Pelodiscus sinensis: one gene and its partner. The protein of the gene in region 2 purifies or fractionates together with the protein of the main gene of each other region. This does not show direct contact. Links are inferred from orthologs where the notes say so. Each region holds a gene or a part of one and is shown on either strand. Other genes may lie near its edges. The genes, in order: SNRPA1 and U2SURP.

Region 1 (7,664 bases), on a different chromosome or scaffold from region 2:
TGATTAATATGCAAAATGTGAATAAAACTGTTTGAAACAAATCCATGTAACCATAATAATAAAATATAAAAATTGTATGCACATCATTCAAACTGGTTGATCTATTTTTTAGTAGTAACTTACCAGCTCCACAATGCTATTGTTGGTAAGAATGATCTCCTGAAGGTTGGGTAAAGCCTGTTCGAGTCCCTCACCAATCCGACTAAAATTAATATTTAAAAATAATCAGTCTGATTTATGTTGGTAATAAATGTTAATAAAAACCTGCAGACACATTTTAACCCTCAAATGCAATACATGTACAAGGGGTCACTTGGTTTGGGAATCATTCACCTTGCATCAAGTAAAACAGTTTAAATCTTTATTTTGTTCCTGTAATTACCTCTGACTTGTACCCTCACTTACCACTGTCCCAAACTTCCTGATCATGTTTACATTTTTCACTGATCTGAATGTAGGAATGATAAACAAAAAACTACTGAATCTCGGCACACTTGACCAAATCACAAAGCCCAAGCCTTGGTTTTCCTGTCCATAAAATGAGGATAATATTTATTGACGTTATCCAGGATTTAAAAGGATTGGTGCTCATAAAGCACACTGAAAATGAAGCAAACTACAATGGTTCTCCATAACTGTAACATGCTGCATTCTTCCATTAAAACAAATCAATGATCATATGCAGAGCTCGACAATTACGGCAATCTACTCGCCCATGGCGAGTAGATTTTAGCCTGGCACGGCGCTGCAGCACAATCAGCGTATGCGTAGCACGGTCTGCGCATGCGCAGTGCGCCAAACAGGGGCTCGCTGCCACTTGTCAAGCCCTGATCGTATGTAAGTTGCAGAACTGCAATGATACAAGCAAACAGCCAATGCTGAAAGCTTCCACGTGCCACCTACCATATCCTGTTGTTATTCATCAGTAACGTTTTCAGCCTCTTCAGCAGAGGGAACCCATCCAACTTGCGGATCTCATTGTCGGAGAAATCAATGGCATCGAATTGGTCCAAGGTGGCACCCAGGTTCTCAATGACGGGGATTTTGTACCCTGCGGGGAAAGCGTCAGACCAAGGTTAAATAGAGTCGGGGGGGAGGAAAGGGGGCATTGGGGTGGAGTTGGGCCATTCAACAAGGGATGCAGGATTCCCAGGTTAGAAGCAGCATGTGACATCACTGTCTCCCTCATGAATCCAGAGTGAAGCCTCCCTACTTCCCCCACTCTTCCACCCCAGCACAAGCTAGGGATGTCAGCAACTAGTTGAGTATCCAATAAGCAAAAAGCTTATCAGGTAGTCAAGTAGTGATTAGGGATGTTAAATTTAGATTAATTAATTAATTGAATAGTTGATGGGATTTCCATCTACTATTTGATTAGTTTATAAGGGTGCCTTTGCCTTTGAACTGAAGCAAGAGTCCAGTTCAAAAGCGGAAGCCCACCAGGGAGCGCTGGACCAGAGCACTCACCCGCTGGCCCTGCACACACTGCAGCATCTGAGCCATTTCAAAAACAGAATTGCAGCAGAAGTGGTGTGAGCAGAGATTCTACCGTTTCCCGCTGTGCCTCTACCTCACCTGCCCCCCACCCCCCCGCAGAGAATGGTGCTGAGGCAAACTGGCTTCAATTCCCCCCCACTTGCTGCCTCTAGGAGAGGCAGTGGAGGGGGGGGCAGCAAAGTAGGAGCTGGTGTTGGGGGGAGCTGGCTTAAAAGCTGGTTCCTCACAGCACCATCTCTGGGGGGCAGAAACACGGTGGGGAAACAGCACGAGTAGGGACTGAAGGAGTCGCACTCACCCTGGCTCCCACTGCGGCACTTCAGCCTGTGAAATGTAGCAAGAGCCCCATAGCGCCGCAGTGGGAACACAGGGCGAGTGGGGACTGCCTGAGTCCCTATGCACCCAGTGCACCCTGCTGTGTCGTGCCCCGCCTCCCTCCACCCCACTCCACAGCCTCTATGAGAACCAGGGCCGTTCACCTCCAACAGAGGCTGCTGGATTCAGCACCAGGCAGGCCCGAGCAGTCCCAACTTGTGCTGGTCCGATACTGCGCCTCTGCATTTTAAATGGAGCAACAGCCCAGCAGCTCTTGCCACATTTAACACGCAGAGTTGCAGCACAGGTGGCTCCTGGAGCTGGCACGAGCCAGGACTACTCCGTCTCAGCTGCAGCCGGCTCCCGGTGTGATCCCCGCTGCGGCTCTGCACACCCGCCCTATCGACTAATTGTATCGACTAGGCCAGTGGTTCCCAAACTTTTTGGCATCACGCCCCCCTTTTTGATTTTTGAAAAACCCTCACGCACCCCCTCCAAATAGCAGTAAAACTTGTTGAGGGGGGAAAAAAACTGAACAGGGCAGCAAAACTTGACTGGCGGGGGCGGCTGGGTCACTTCGCACGGCCCCCTGGAATTTCTGCACACACCCCCAGTTTGGGAACCCCTGGACTAGGCCATTAGCCAGGTACCCAAGATGTAAAATTGTCAGCACAAAACCCGCCCCGCTACAACTCCCCCCACATACTCCCGCCCCACACCTGACCCACCCCCCACATACTCCCGCCCCACACACTCCCGTCCCCACCCCACACCTGACCCACCCCCCCACATACTCCCGCCCCACACCTGATCCATCCCCCCACATACTCCCGCTCCCGCCCCACACCTGACCCATCCCCCCACATACTCCCGCCCCCCGCCTGACCCACCCCCCCGTGCCTCCGCCCCACACTCCCGCCCCCCACCTGACCCACCCCCCCACATACTCCCGCCCCCGCCCCACACCTGACCCATCCCCCACATACTCCCGCCCCCGCCCCACACCTGACCCACCCCCCCACATACTCCCGCCCCCGCCCCACACCTGACCCATCCCCCCACATACTCCCGCCCCCGCCCCACACCTGACCCACCCCCCACATACTCCCGCCCCCCGCCTGACCCACCCCCCGTGCCCTCGCCCCACACCTGACCCACCCCCCCACCTGACCCACGCTCCCGCCCCCCCACACACACCCGGCCCACCCCACGCTCGGCCGCGACCCGAGGCCCCTCCCCGGCGCGCGGCTCCCGGGCGGGCCTCACCGCGCAGATCCAGCTCGCGGTCGCGCACGGCGTTGGTGTACTGCGCCGCCTGCTCGATCAGCTCCGCCGTGAGCTTCACCATCCTGCCGCGCGCCCCGCACGCGTCCCGCCGGGCCTACAGCGCCGAGCGAGCCGAGCGCCGAGACCCCGAGCGGCACAGGCCGAGCGGCCGAGCGCCGAGCCTCGGAGCGCCGCCTCTTGGCCCCGCCTCCCGGCGCCATAGCGACGGAGGCGGCTTCCCCCGCCCTTCAGCGAGGAGTTCCCCCCCCCCCCCAGACACACCTGCCCTTCCCCCAGCCACAGGGTCAGCTCCCCCCTTCCACTGCCCATACAGCCAGCTCCCCCTGCACTCTGTGGGGCAGGTGCATAGAAGGGCAGTAGTGGGGGCAAAAGATCGATCTGGCTTCAAGATTAAACTAGATATCGGCTACGTCTACACGGGCATGATTTTCCGAAAATGCTTTTAATGGAAAAGTTTTCCGTTAAAAGCATTTTTGGAAAAATCGCGTCTAGATTGGCAGGATGCTTTTCCGCAAAAGCACTCAGACTAGATGATCATAATGGTCCCTTCTGACCTTAAAGTCTATGAGGTGCCCCTCGTAAGGCAGGGACACGGGGCTCTGTGGGGGCCCTGGTCAGTGCAAGGTGCTGCTGTGATTAACAGTAGGCGGAAGGAGACGGGAGCTCTGCTCTCTGATTGTAATTTCAAGTCACACCAGTGAAATGTGAGAGCTGGGGAAACACAAGACAGGACTGTGCAGCACTTTAAAGACTCACAAGATGGTTTATTAGGGGATGAGCTTTCGTGGGCCAGACCCACTTCCTCAGATCAAATTGTGGAAGAAAATTGGCATGACCCTATATACCAAAGGATACAATTAAAAAAAAAGTGAACACATATAAAACTGACGCTTCAGATTTAAGAACAGAGGAGGAGCGAGGGGGGAAGGTTTGCCAAAGAATCAATGCACACAAAACAGACAACAATCAGAGCCACAGGGCCATAGCCATAGCGCTCTGCTAATCATGCTCCCTGCACAGCTCTGCTCTGTATGACTTTCCCTGAAAGCCGTCTGAGCTGGTTCTGTCAATCAGGCTTTCTGCAGAAGTAGTGCCTAGGAGGGCCACCTGTAGGCCTGCATCCTGATTAGATTTCCAGAAGTCTTTTTTGGCCCACCACATTCAATACACAGTCATCTGAACTCCTGAGGATGCATTGTGTATTTTTTTGTCAGGTGTCTTTCCTGTAAATGCAACAATGACCAATTTTACAGATGATCTTTAAAATTGGAGGTGTGGAAAATAGGCCAGTCAAGCGAACCAAACTGCAAACGGAGATGGAGAAATGAGCTCAGTGGGGAATACAGGATAGGAGGCAAGATTTTGTCCTGTTAAGTGTAAAGTTTTGTGCTCACAAAGAGGAAATAACCAGTATAGAGACAGGGGCATCTTACATATAAACTCATGGATATAACCAGGTAGCCACACCTAATCCATAAAAGCTACTTTATTTTCCTTCCTTATTTCCTCCCTCCTAAAATCTCACCTCCCTAAATAGCCTTTATTTTTGTAATGTACATAAGAACGGCCGTACTATGTTAGACAAAAGGTCCGTCCAGCCCAGTTTTCTACAGTGGCCAATGCCAGATGCCCCAGAAGGATTGAACAGAACAGGGTATCATCAAGTGATCCCTCCCCGTCACCCATTCCTAGCCTCTGATAAACAGAGTCTAGGGACACTATTCCTACCCATCCTGGTTAATAGGCATTGATGGACCTATTCCATCAAAAGCAGCCCAAATGATGTCAGCAGAAGCCAAGCTGAGGGAGCATGGGGTACAGATCACAGCTAGAGGATCTCTGCATCTTGGGGTCTTCAAAGTATTTGAAGGCTTCAATATCTGAGATATAGGTGAGAGGATTATTCTAGGAGGGGTGGGTGAGATTTTGTGGCCTGCACTGTGTGGGGGGTCAGACTGGATGATCATAGTGGTCCCTTCTGACCTTGGAGTCTATGAGTCTATGAGTCTATGAGTGGATAGATGAGAGCAGAAGGGACAGGTAGTGCGCAGAGCATTTCATTTTGTCAGTGCTGTCTTTGAAGTCCCAATAATTAGTCAATGAAAGCCCAGAAATTCAAGATTCTTGGTCTTTATTTTCGTGGTAGATTCATTACACTGGGGCTTCTTTCAAATAAGATGAACATTCTGATTAAGGACTAATCCAACATATGGTCCCATCCTAAGGCAGCTAGTGATGCTGTCTTTGTGTGGCTCAGTTAGCACTAGCCAGCCCTGTGCTGCAGAGGCAGGGAGGAAGGAAGAGAGCTAGAAGAAGGAATGAGCCTTGAAGAAACAGCAAATTAAAACATCCAGGAGGGAGGGCTGAAAACCCACAGAATCCATCGGGGGAGTTTCACATCATTGGGGAGGTGTGAAAGCTTTGACTGTGGCTAAATTGCAGACATGGAGCTGAGAAGGTTTGGACTCTCCCAACCAGTTACAGGTTTTGCTGTGTGAACTTGGCTAAGTTATGGGCAACAACATGATGAACAATGGCCATCTGGACTGTGTGGCTTAGTTTTTAGGTGTCCAACCTGAGAGTGGCATGAGGGGTTGAGCAGCTGAACCTCTTGTTGACTTCAGTAGAAGTTGTAGATGATCAGCACTTTGTAAAATTATCCTGAAATACAGGACACAGAGTCTTTGTCTACACTGCAGGGTTTTTGCACAAGAAGCTTTTTGTGGAAGAGATCTTCCGCAAAAACTTCTTGTGCAAAAACACATCCACACCTCAAAAGCACACTGCAAAAGCAATGTGCTTTTGCGCAAGAGAGCATCCACACTGCATGGATGATCTGGCACAAGAAAGCTCTGATTGCCATTAACAGAATGGCCACCAGAGCACCCGTGCTTTTTCTGATAGGCTCTTTTTGCTCAAGAAACCTCTGTGGAGCATCCACACGTGCCTTTTGGCACAAGAGCTGTAGCGCAAAAAGGAGTTATTCCTCATGGGGAGAGGAATAACTCTACCGGCAAAAGCCCTCTCTCCTGTCAATGTACTGTATTGTTTTGCGCAAAAACCTTGTAGTGTAGACATAGGGTACGTCTAGACTACCAGGTTTTGTCGACAGAAGTTTTGTCGACAGTATCTGTTGACAAAACTTCTGTCGACAAAGAGCGTCCAGACACATTGAGTTCTGTCGAAAAAGCAAGCTGCTTTGTCGACAGAACCCTGTAGTCTAGACGCAACCCTACAGGCAATAACACCTTCTGTCGACAGAACTCTGTCGACAGAAGGTGTTATGCCTCGTAAAATGAGGTATACCAGCGTCGACAAAACTGCTGAGTTCTGTCGACGTTATGTCGACAGAACTCATCGGTAGTGTAGACGCTGGTATAGTTTTGTCGACAAAAGTGGACTTTTGTCGACAAAACTCAGTAGTCTAGACACACCCATAGACAGAGCTTTCTTGAGAGCCCGCACAAAACTATAGAGTGAATTCCTCCAGACACTAATCACCAACTTCACCATGTGCATTGCTGTAACAAACATATAGACAGATGTGTATATAAGAATCCAGAAAAACAAACACTCCACTGCATACACTTGGCCCCGATGGGAGAACAAACAGGACATATATTAGTCAGGTTGCCTAATGCTTTATGGATGGTGCTCAGACTTTATAAGTGTGGTGTAAGAACTTTTACCGCATAGAATAACTCCAAAGTGTCTTAAGGTGAGTTCTCCAAAACTGAGTTTCTCAGCCTGCAAAATGAGGATGGGCAAACATTTATCTTATACAGGGAAATGGATTTTGGAATTGTATTTTGGAAAGCAGTGGTGTAGGAAAGGACTTGGGTGTCATGATGGATAACCAATTGACCATGAACTAGTACTGTGATATAGGGATGTAAAATCCTGTTTAATCAGTTAACCACTTAAATGGCCTCCTGCCCATGGTATGGCACAGCAGGCCTGGCCAGGCAGGAGTGGTTCTTCACCTGTGGCACCGTGAGCCTAGCCAAGCTGGAGTGGCTCTTGACCTGCAGTGTGGTGAGCCCAGCCGAGCTGCAGTGGGCCTGGCCATGTTAGAGTGACCCCCACCTGTGGAATGGCACAGCAGGCCTGGCCAGGCTGGAGTAGTCCTTCACCTGTGGCATGGTGGGCCTAGCTGGGCTGGAGTGGCTCTTGACTCGTGGCATGGTGAGCCGGCCGAGCTGGAGTGAGGCAGAGGGCCTGGCCAGGTTATAGTGGCCCCCGCCTGCGGTATGGCACAGGCATGGGGCTGCTTCAACCAGGCCAGGCCCACCACAGGCAGTGGGGGTCACTCCAGCCCGGCTGGGCCCACTGTGCTGCACCACAGGCAAGCAGGGAGCTGCTCCAACCCAGCCAGATTACTGGTTAACTGCGGGATGTTGCTAGCCGATTAACCGGTTAACTGTTGACATCCCTACTTGTGATGTGATGGTTAAATAAGCCAATGTGATCCTTGGATATATAAGCAGAGAACTATATTGCTCAGAAAGAGGGAGGTATTGTTATCACAGCCTGGGGCATCCCTAAACCCCACAAGGACAAGGTCC
Region 2 (7,491 bases):
CCTTTCTTCTCTGTCTATCCTTGATCTCTCCCTCTCTTCCCCTTTGCTCAGTCCCTTTCTTTCTGTTCACACACTTCCCCCTTTTAGTTCCCTTCCAACCTTCCATTTGGCTTCTTATCCCATTCCTGTTTCGTTTTTATGTTCAGTAGAATCGCTATGGATAGTAATTCCATGCTCCAATAATGAGAAATTAGCAGTAGGGATATATTACCGACCACCTGATCAGGACAGCGATACTGACATCGAAATGCTGAGGGAGATTAGAGAGGCTACCAAAATAAAGAACTCTATAATAATGGGGGATTTTAATTACCCCCATATTGACTGGATACATGTCACCTCAGAAAGAGAAGCGGAGATAAAATTTCTCAATGACTTAAATGACTGCTTCTTGGATCAGCTGGTGCAGGAACCCACAAGGGGAGAGGCAATTCTTGATTTAGTCCTGAGTGGAGCTCAGGATCAGGTCCAGGAAATAACCGTTACAGGACCGCTTGGGAATAGTGACCATAATATAATAACATTCAACATTCCTGTGGTGGGAAGAACACCTCAGCAGTCCAGCACCCTGGCATTTAATTTCAAAAAGGGGAATTACACAAAAATGAGGGGGTTAGTTAAACAGAAATTAAAAAGCACAGTGACTAGAGCCAAATCCCTGCAAGCTGCATGGAAACTTTTAAAAGACACCATAATAGAGGCCCAACTTAAATGTATACCCCAAATTAAAAAACATAGCAAGAGACCTAAAAAAGAGTCACCGTGGCCTAACCACCATGTAAAAGAAGCAGTGAGGGACAAAAGGGTATCTTTTAAGAAGTGGAAGTCCAATCCTAGTGAGATAAATAGAAAGGAACATAAACACTGTCAAATCAAGTGTAAAAATGTAATAAGAAAAGCAAAAAAATATTTTGAGGAACAGCTAGCCAAAAACTCAAAAAGAAATAACAAAATGTTTTTTAAGTACATTAGAAGCAGGAAGCCTGCTAAAAAACCTGTGGGTCCCCTAGATGATCGAACTATAAAAGGAGCAATCAAGGACGATAAAGCCATTGCGGAGAAACTAAATGATTTCTTTGCTTCAGTCTTCTCGACTGAGGATGTTGGGGAGATTCCCAAATCTGCATTGTCCTTTGTGGGTGATGAATCTGAGGAACTGTCCCGGATTGAAGTGTCATTAGAGGAGGTTTTGGAACAAATAGAAAAACTTAATGTTAACAAATCTCCGGGACCGGATGGTATTCATCCAAGGGTTCTAAAAGAACTCAAATGGGAAATTGCTGAACTATTATCTGTGGTTTGTAACCTATCCCTTGAATTGGCTTCCGTACCTAATGACTGCAAGATAGCCAACATGACACCAATATTTAAAAAGGGCTCTAGAGGCGATCCTGGCAATTACAGACCGGTAAGTCTAACTTCAGTACCGGGCAAATTAGTCGAAATAATAGTAAAGAATAAAATTGTGAAGCATGTAGAAGAACATAATTTGTTGGACAAAAGTCAACATGGTTTCTGTAAAGGGAAATCCTGTCTTACTAATCTTTAGAGTTCTTTGAAGGGGTTAACAAACATGCGGACAAGGGGGATCCAGTAGATATAGTATACTTAGATTTTCAGAAAGCCTTTGACAAAGTCCCTCACCAAAGGCTCTTGTGTAAATTACATGGCCATGGGATAAGAGGGAAGGTCCTTTCTTGGATTGAGAACTGGTTAAAAGACAGGAAACAAAGGGTAGGAATAAATTGTACATTTTCAGAATGGAGAGGGGTAACTAGTGGTGTCCCCCAAGGGTCAGTCCTAGGACCAATCCTGTTCAACTTATTCATAAATGATCTGGAGAAAGGGGTAAGCAGTGAGGTGGTAAAGTTTGCAGATGATACCAAACTGTTTAGGATAGTCAAGACAGAAGCAGACTGTGAGGGACTCCAAGAAGATCTCACCAAACTGAGTGATTGGGCAACAAAATGGCAAATGATATTTAATGTGGATAAGTGTAAAGTAATGCACATCAGGAAAAATAACCCCAACTATATGTACAGTATGATGGGGGATAATTTGGCTATGACAAATCAGGAAAGAGATCTTGGAGTTATTGTGGACAGTTCTCTGAAAACTTCCACACAGTGTGCAGCGGCAGTCAAAAAGGCAAATAGGATGCTAGGAATTATTAAGAAAGGGATAGAAAATAAGACCCAGAATATCTTATTGCCCCTTTATAAAACTATGGTACGCTCACATCTTGAATACTGTGTACAGATGTGGTCTCCTCACCTCAAAAAAGATATTTTGGCCTTGGAAAGGGTTCAGAAAAGGGCAACTACAATGATTAGGGGTTTGGAATGGGTCCCATATGAGGAGAGGTTAAAGCAAGTGGGACTTTTCAGTTTAGAAAAGAGGAGACAGAGGGGGGATATGATAGAGGTCTATAAAATCATGAGTGGTGTGGAGAGGGTGGATAAAGAAAAGTTATTTATTAGTTCCCTAAATAGAAGAACTAGAGGACATCAAATGAAATTAATGGGTAGCAGGTTTAAAACTAATACAAGAAAGTTCTTCACACAGCGTGTAGTCAACCTGTGGAACTCCTTGCCAGAGGAGGCTGTGAAGGCTAGGATTATAATAGAGTTTAAAGAGAAGCTAGATAATTTCATGGAGGTTAGGTCCATAAAAGGCTATTAGCCAGGTGATAAAATGGTGTCCTTGTTCTCTGTTTGTCAGAGGCTGGAGAGGGATGGCAGGAGACAAATCGCTTGCCTCTCTGGGTCACCTGGTGCTGGCCACTGTCGGCAGACAGGATATTGGGCTAGATGGACCTTTGGTCTGACCCAGTACGGCCGTTCTTATGCCCTTTATGCTGTCATCCATTTTCTTCTTTTTGCTATTTTTGTCCCTGCCTTCTTCCCTAAATATTAAGGTGCATTTGGCAAAGTCTCTTGTGTCCTTTCTCCACCCTGCTAGGGGTGTGCAGCAGCTAGAGAGACATGATGACTGTTTTAAAACAGCTGGTGTGTCTCTCTAGCCGCGGAGGGTGAGAGGTGGGAGGACTTCACATGCTCCCCACCCCCACTCCCTGTTTGGCTTGGGGAGCAGCAGGGCGGCTGCGGGCTGGATCCACTGACTTGGAAGACCGGATCCAGCCCACATAGCGCCCTTTGCCCACCACTGGGCTAGAGAGACAGGCTGACTGCTTTAAACAGCCAGTGTTGTCTCTCCGGCAGCTGCACACTCTTGTGCGGCGAGGAGACTTCTCGGTGAGGCAGCATTGCGGCAGGTGAGGGGGGCAGGCTGGAGCTGATACATGTGCTGCCTTTCAAGCCAGCTCCCTATGTGCATGGGCTTCTGCGGACCCAACTCTGCAGGAGGCAGTGAGGAGGGACAGGCAGGAGCTGGGGGGAGCAGGCTTAAAAGCCATTTCACCTCAGCACCAGATCCATGGTGCCGCCTGCCCCGCCTCCTGAACTGCAGGGGAGGCTGCTGCCAGCGGCGGATTTAGGGCAGGGCGAGCGGGGCGGCTGCCCCGGGCCCCGTGCTTGAGCCTTGGCACGACAGTGCATGTGCTGGGTCAAAGGGGGGGGGGGCTGCGAAATGTTGCTGCCCGTCCCCGTGGCACTCTCATCTGTCCCTGGCTGCTGCAAAGCAGCTTCTGCCTGTGGGGGTCTGAGCTCCCTGTGGAGGCTGCTCCACATCCTTCTGAGCAGCCTGTCCTCAGCGAGCCTGGGCCTGCAGCAGGCAGAAGCTGCTCCGAGGCAGCAGCCTCTGTCTGCAGGGAGCTCGGACCCTCCCACAGACAGGCTGCTGCCTCTGTATCAGAGGCAGCAGGGCGGCAGGCAGCCGGTGAGGTGAGCTGTTTTTTAAACTGGCTCCTCTTGTGAAGCAGCTCGGCCTCCCACCTGACCAAGAGGCAGCAGCGGCGGTGGCAGGGGGCGGGGCTGGGAGTGCCCTGGGACTTCCGAAGAGTCGGGTGTCGCTAAGTGTTCATGCGGTTACACAGCCCCTCGGCTACCGCCCCCGCCTCCAACCCCGCACTCTGACACCCCTGCCAGCGCTCGCCGCTGCCTATTTGCCACCCGCGTGGAGCCGGCGTGACCCCGGCGCTAAACTCGCGTCAGTGGCGAGGGAGCCAGGCCCCCTGGAGCCAGCCACTCGGGGCGGGGCTGGCAGCGCGCGCAGCACCCTCCCTCCTGCCGCGCGGCGCCAGCCGCAGCAGCCCGGCCGACCGAATCGCTGGCTCAGCCATCGATTCGCCGCACTTCCTCCTCCCCGCCTCAGCGCGGCCAGTCTCCTTCCCTTTACAATCGGTGCTCGATTCTTCGCCGCCAGGGCTGAGCTGGGGAGAGAAGCAAGATGGCGGACAAAACGCCAGGCGGGTCGCAGAAAGCCAGTGCGAAGGTGAGGCCGCCCCGCGGGCCCTGCAAACGGCGCCGCTGCCTGGGCCCCGCGCGGGGCAGGGGCGGGAGCGGCATCCATGCCCCGGAGGCGTCAGGCCGTGCTGGGCGCTCGGACCCGGCCGCGCAGGCCGTGCGGCCTGCTCCGTCCCGCCCGTCCGCGGCGTTACTGCGGGCTGCTGGCGGCGGAATGGATGGGGCGGCGGGCAAGGGCTGGGGCAGGGAGGTCGGGCCCAGTGTTTCTCCTACTGCTTGTCCAGCATCGGGGTGCGTGTGTAAGGCCTGTGGGATGCGCCCCCCCCCCCCCCCACTGCACCATGAGCCCTCGGGTCCCTTCCCTGCACCCTCTGCTGGCACCGCGTCCCCCCTCCCGAGCGGGAATAGTCGTTGGGGCAGAGCGGGGCAAAGATGCAGCCTTGCTCCTCTGGGTTCGCCCCCTCTCAGCGCTGCATATTCGGGGGGTTGGGATCGGTGTGTCCCCCGTTACCTGGATACCTGTTAAAATAGCTTCTTTGCTCATTGGGATGGATTTTGCCTTATTTTTTGTTTCCCTGAAACAGTCTCAGTAGCTTTCCCGGGCCTTGCTTGAAAACATTATTTTTAAAGCGTCTGGCGCTGGTGATGAGTAGTTTTAAGTTTCAGTTCCAGATTGAAAACATTTTCCCTATTCTATCTGTTTTATGTTTTAATTATTTGTTATAATGTGTGTGTGTGTGGGGGGGGGGGGGGGTGAGGGCAAGCGATTCAGGTGTTCTTAGGCCATCTTCCCATTACCATTTTTGCCAGCAAAACTTAATGTTGCTCAAGGGTGTGAAAGTTTTGCCAGCTTAAATGGTAGTGTGCACCATTGGTGGGATAACTTTTCCTGATACGGCTACTGCTGCTCATTGATATGGTTTTATGTCAACTGAAGAGCTCTCATTCCCTTTGCCATAATGTGGCTACACAAGCCAGTGTATAGTGGCTCAACTGCATTGGTTCATCTGTATTGTAAGTTCACTAGTGTAGATGTAGCTAGAGACTCTGGAGAAATGGACAGACTTGTCCTAAATCCCATGCATTTTTCTAGTGTCTGATTCCTAATCCTGTGCTCAGATTACTAGGCATTTCCCCCACTAGATTGTTTGGCTTGACAACTTTTCAGTCATTCTTCCTCTCTGTTCCTAATTTCCATGGCTAACTTTATTTCCTGTAGTACTGGAATAAGCCAGTATTTTCTGTAGTCCTGCAGCAGCATTTGCACAGATCCTGTGTGATTAGATAGCCATTGCACTTGTACGATTGAGGCCTAAATACTCTATCCTCTTGACTCAAAAGTCTAGAAATGTTTGGAATTGATATTTTTGGGGTAGTGGTTGGAAATTAGGAAGAGGTTGTTGTTATATTAAGTCTCAGTCTGGCAGACACATGCATGTGCTTAACTTGATTCACATAGGTGGTCCCATTTTTTAGTTTGGAAATATTTATACCTGTTTGGCTATTGTTTCCCAATTGTGGATTAAAAACTTGTAGTTAACTTGAGGTTGATTTTTCTGTTTCCATGGCCTGGTTCTCTCTTTTGATTGAAAACATTGATGTTTTTCTTTGGTGAGCCAAGTTTATTTTCCATAATTAACATTACCAAGGATAGCGAGGTCCAAGTCAAAACTGTATGGTAGTCACTGGTTAGTTTGTTTAAAGCCACACACAAAATCTGCATTTGGCAAGAGTGGATGCTTAGGAGTAATATCCAGATGTGGGAGAACCATTAATTCCTGCGTCTCCCACAAAAGTGAGGAATTAGTAAGGACTCTAGTCTACTCCCAGGGTTGAATGCTTTTTAGCATCTGACAATGATCCTAGACATAGTTAAGCAATAAATTATCTCATACTCAATAATGTTGCTGGTATTAGGCTATGACTACACTGTGGACCTTATAATGGTACGGCTGTACCATTATAAAGCTGCACTGCTGTCAGGTCTCCTGTGTAGCTGCTCTATGCTGGCAGGAGATTAAAGCACCCTCCCAATAAACAGGAGTAGATAGGTCAGCGTGAGAGTATCTTCTAGTGACATAGAGCTGTGTACACTAGTGCTTGTCTTGGTGAAACATTGGTTTGGGGTGTATTTTTTCACAAAAGTAATTAACAAAAATGTTGCTTAGAAGAGTGCAATTGTAGACAAAGCCTTAGAATGGCTAGCCAGTAACTGTATGTAGTTCTTCCTAGCAGCTGACTATTCAGCCTTCCCAGGAGGAAGGGTCATGGACCAGGAATAGGATATGGGACTTGGAGGACCAGGATTCTGTTTCCATTGCTACTTAATACATAAATTATTTAACCTCTTAACTTTTCAGATGAAATGTGCTATATGTACGTATTAAATACCTATTGTCTCCCATCACTGGAATGTTGTTTTTTTCCATTGATCCATATCACTTATAGACCTGAATAAGAATTAGTAGTAGTTTCTTCTGAAACACATGACATTTGAATTTATTACTGTACTGCTCTACTCCTAACAGTGTAAAAGCAAGTGCTGCTGTGAAAAGTTGGCTTAGCAACTGGAGGAACTTTGTTTTAAAGTGCCTGGATAATGATTTACACCAATTCAGAGGAGTGACTTTGTTCACAACGTATCAGCAAGCGTGCACTGAGTAGATCAGTGGTGGGTAAACTGCAGCTCAGGAACTGTATGCGGCCCACTGGGGCTCCACTTGTGGCCTGAAGACCCTTTATCTGCTCCCTTCCCCCACATGCTTCATACACTGGAGCCCCATATTTTCTATTCTTCTCACCTCTTTCTCTCTCTCCCTCCCAGCACTTTCTGAAATGTGAATCACCTGATTGACGCTTCATCTCTGCTCCTTTTCCTTCCTCTCCCTGCTTTTTTTGCAGCTGTTCAATTTCTGGGAGGGAGTGGGAGGAGCACATATGGAACACAGATCAGGCGATTTGCACACCCCGAAAGTGCTGGGAAGGAGGGAAGAGTTGTAGGAAGTAGGGATGTCATTGTGTGAACAACTGCATGATTAACCGATAAGCCTGGGCTACAGTAGCCAGTACTAGAGGCTGCAAGGAGGGAGGGGAGCTGTTGCTGGTGAGGAGCTGGCTTTAAGCAGGC

The links.
Region 1: the proteins of U2SURP (region 2) and SNRPA1 purify together in Homo sapiens (affinity purification with mass spectrometry; 5 studies listed by BioGRID and IntAct, with this or other methods). This does not show direct contact. The link is inferred for Pelodiscus sinensis from reciprocal best matches to the Homo sapiens genes U2SURP and SNRPA1.

What each region holds. Positions count from the first base shown.
Region 1 is NC_134724.1:7,056,603-7,064,266, reverse strand, and holds the start of SNRPA1 (U2 small nuclear ribonucleoprotein A'), read right to left. Parts: upstream 3,263-7,664; 5' UTR 3,161-3,262; coding exon 3,079-3,160; intron 1,052-3,078; coding exon 904-1,051; intron 203-903; coding exon 124-202; intron 1-123. UniProt on the Homo sapiens protein: Involved in pre-mRNA splicing as component of the spliceosome. Associated with sn-RNP U2, where it contributes to the binding of stem loop IV of U2 snRNA.
Region 2 is NC_134720.1:21,752,638-21,760,128, forward strand, and holds the start of U2SURP (U2 snRNP-associated SURP motif-containing protein), read left to right. Parts: upstream 1-4,214; 5' UTR 4,215-4,347; coding exon 4,348-4,392; intron 4,393-7,491.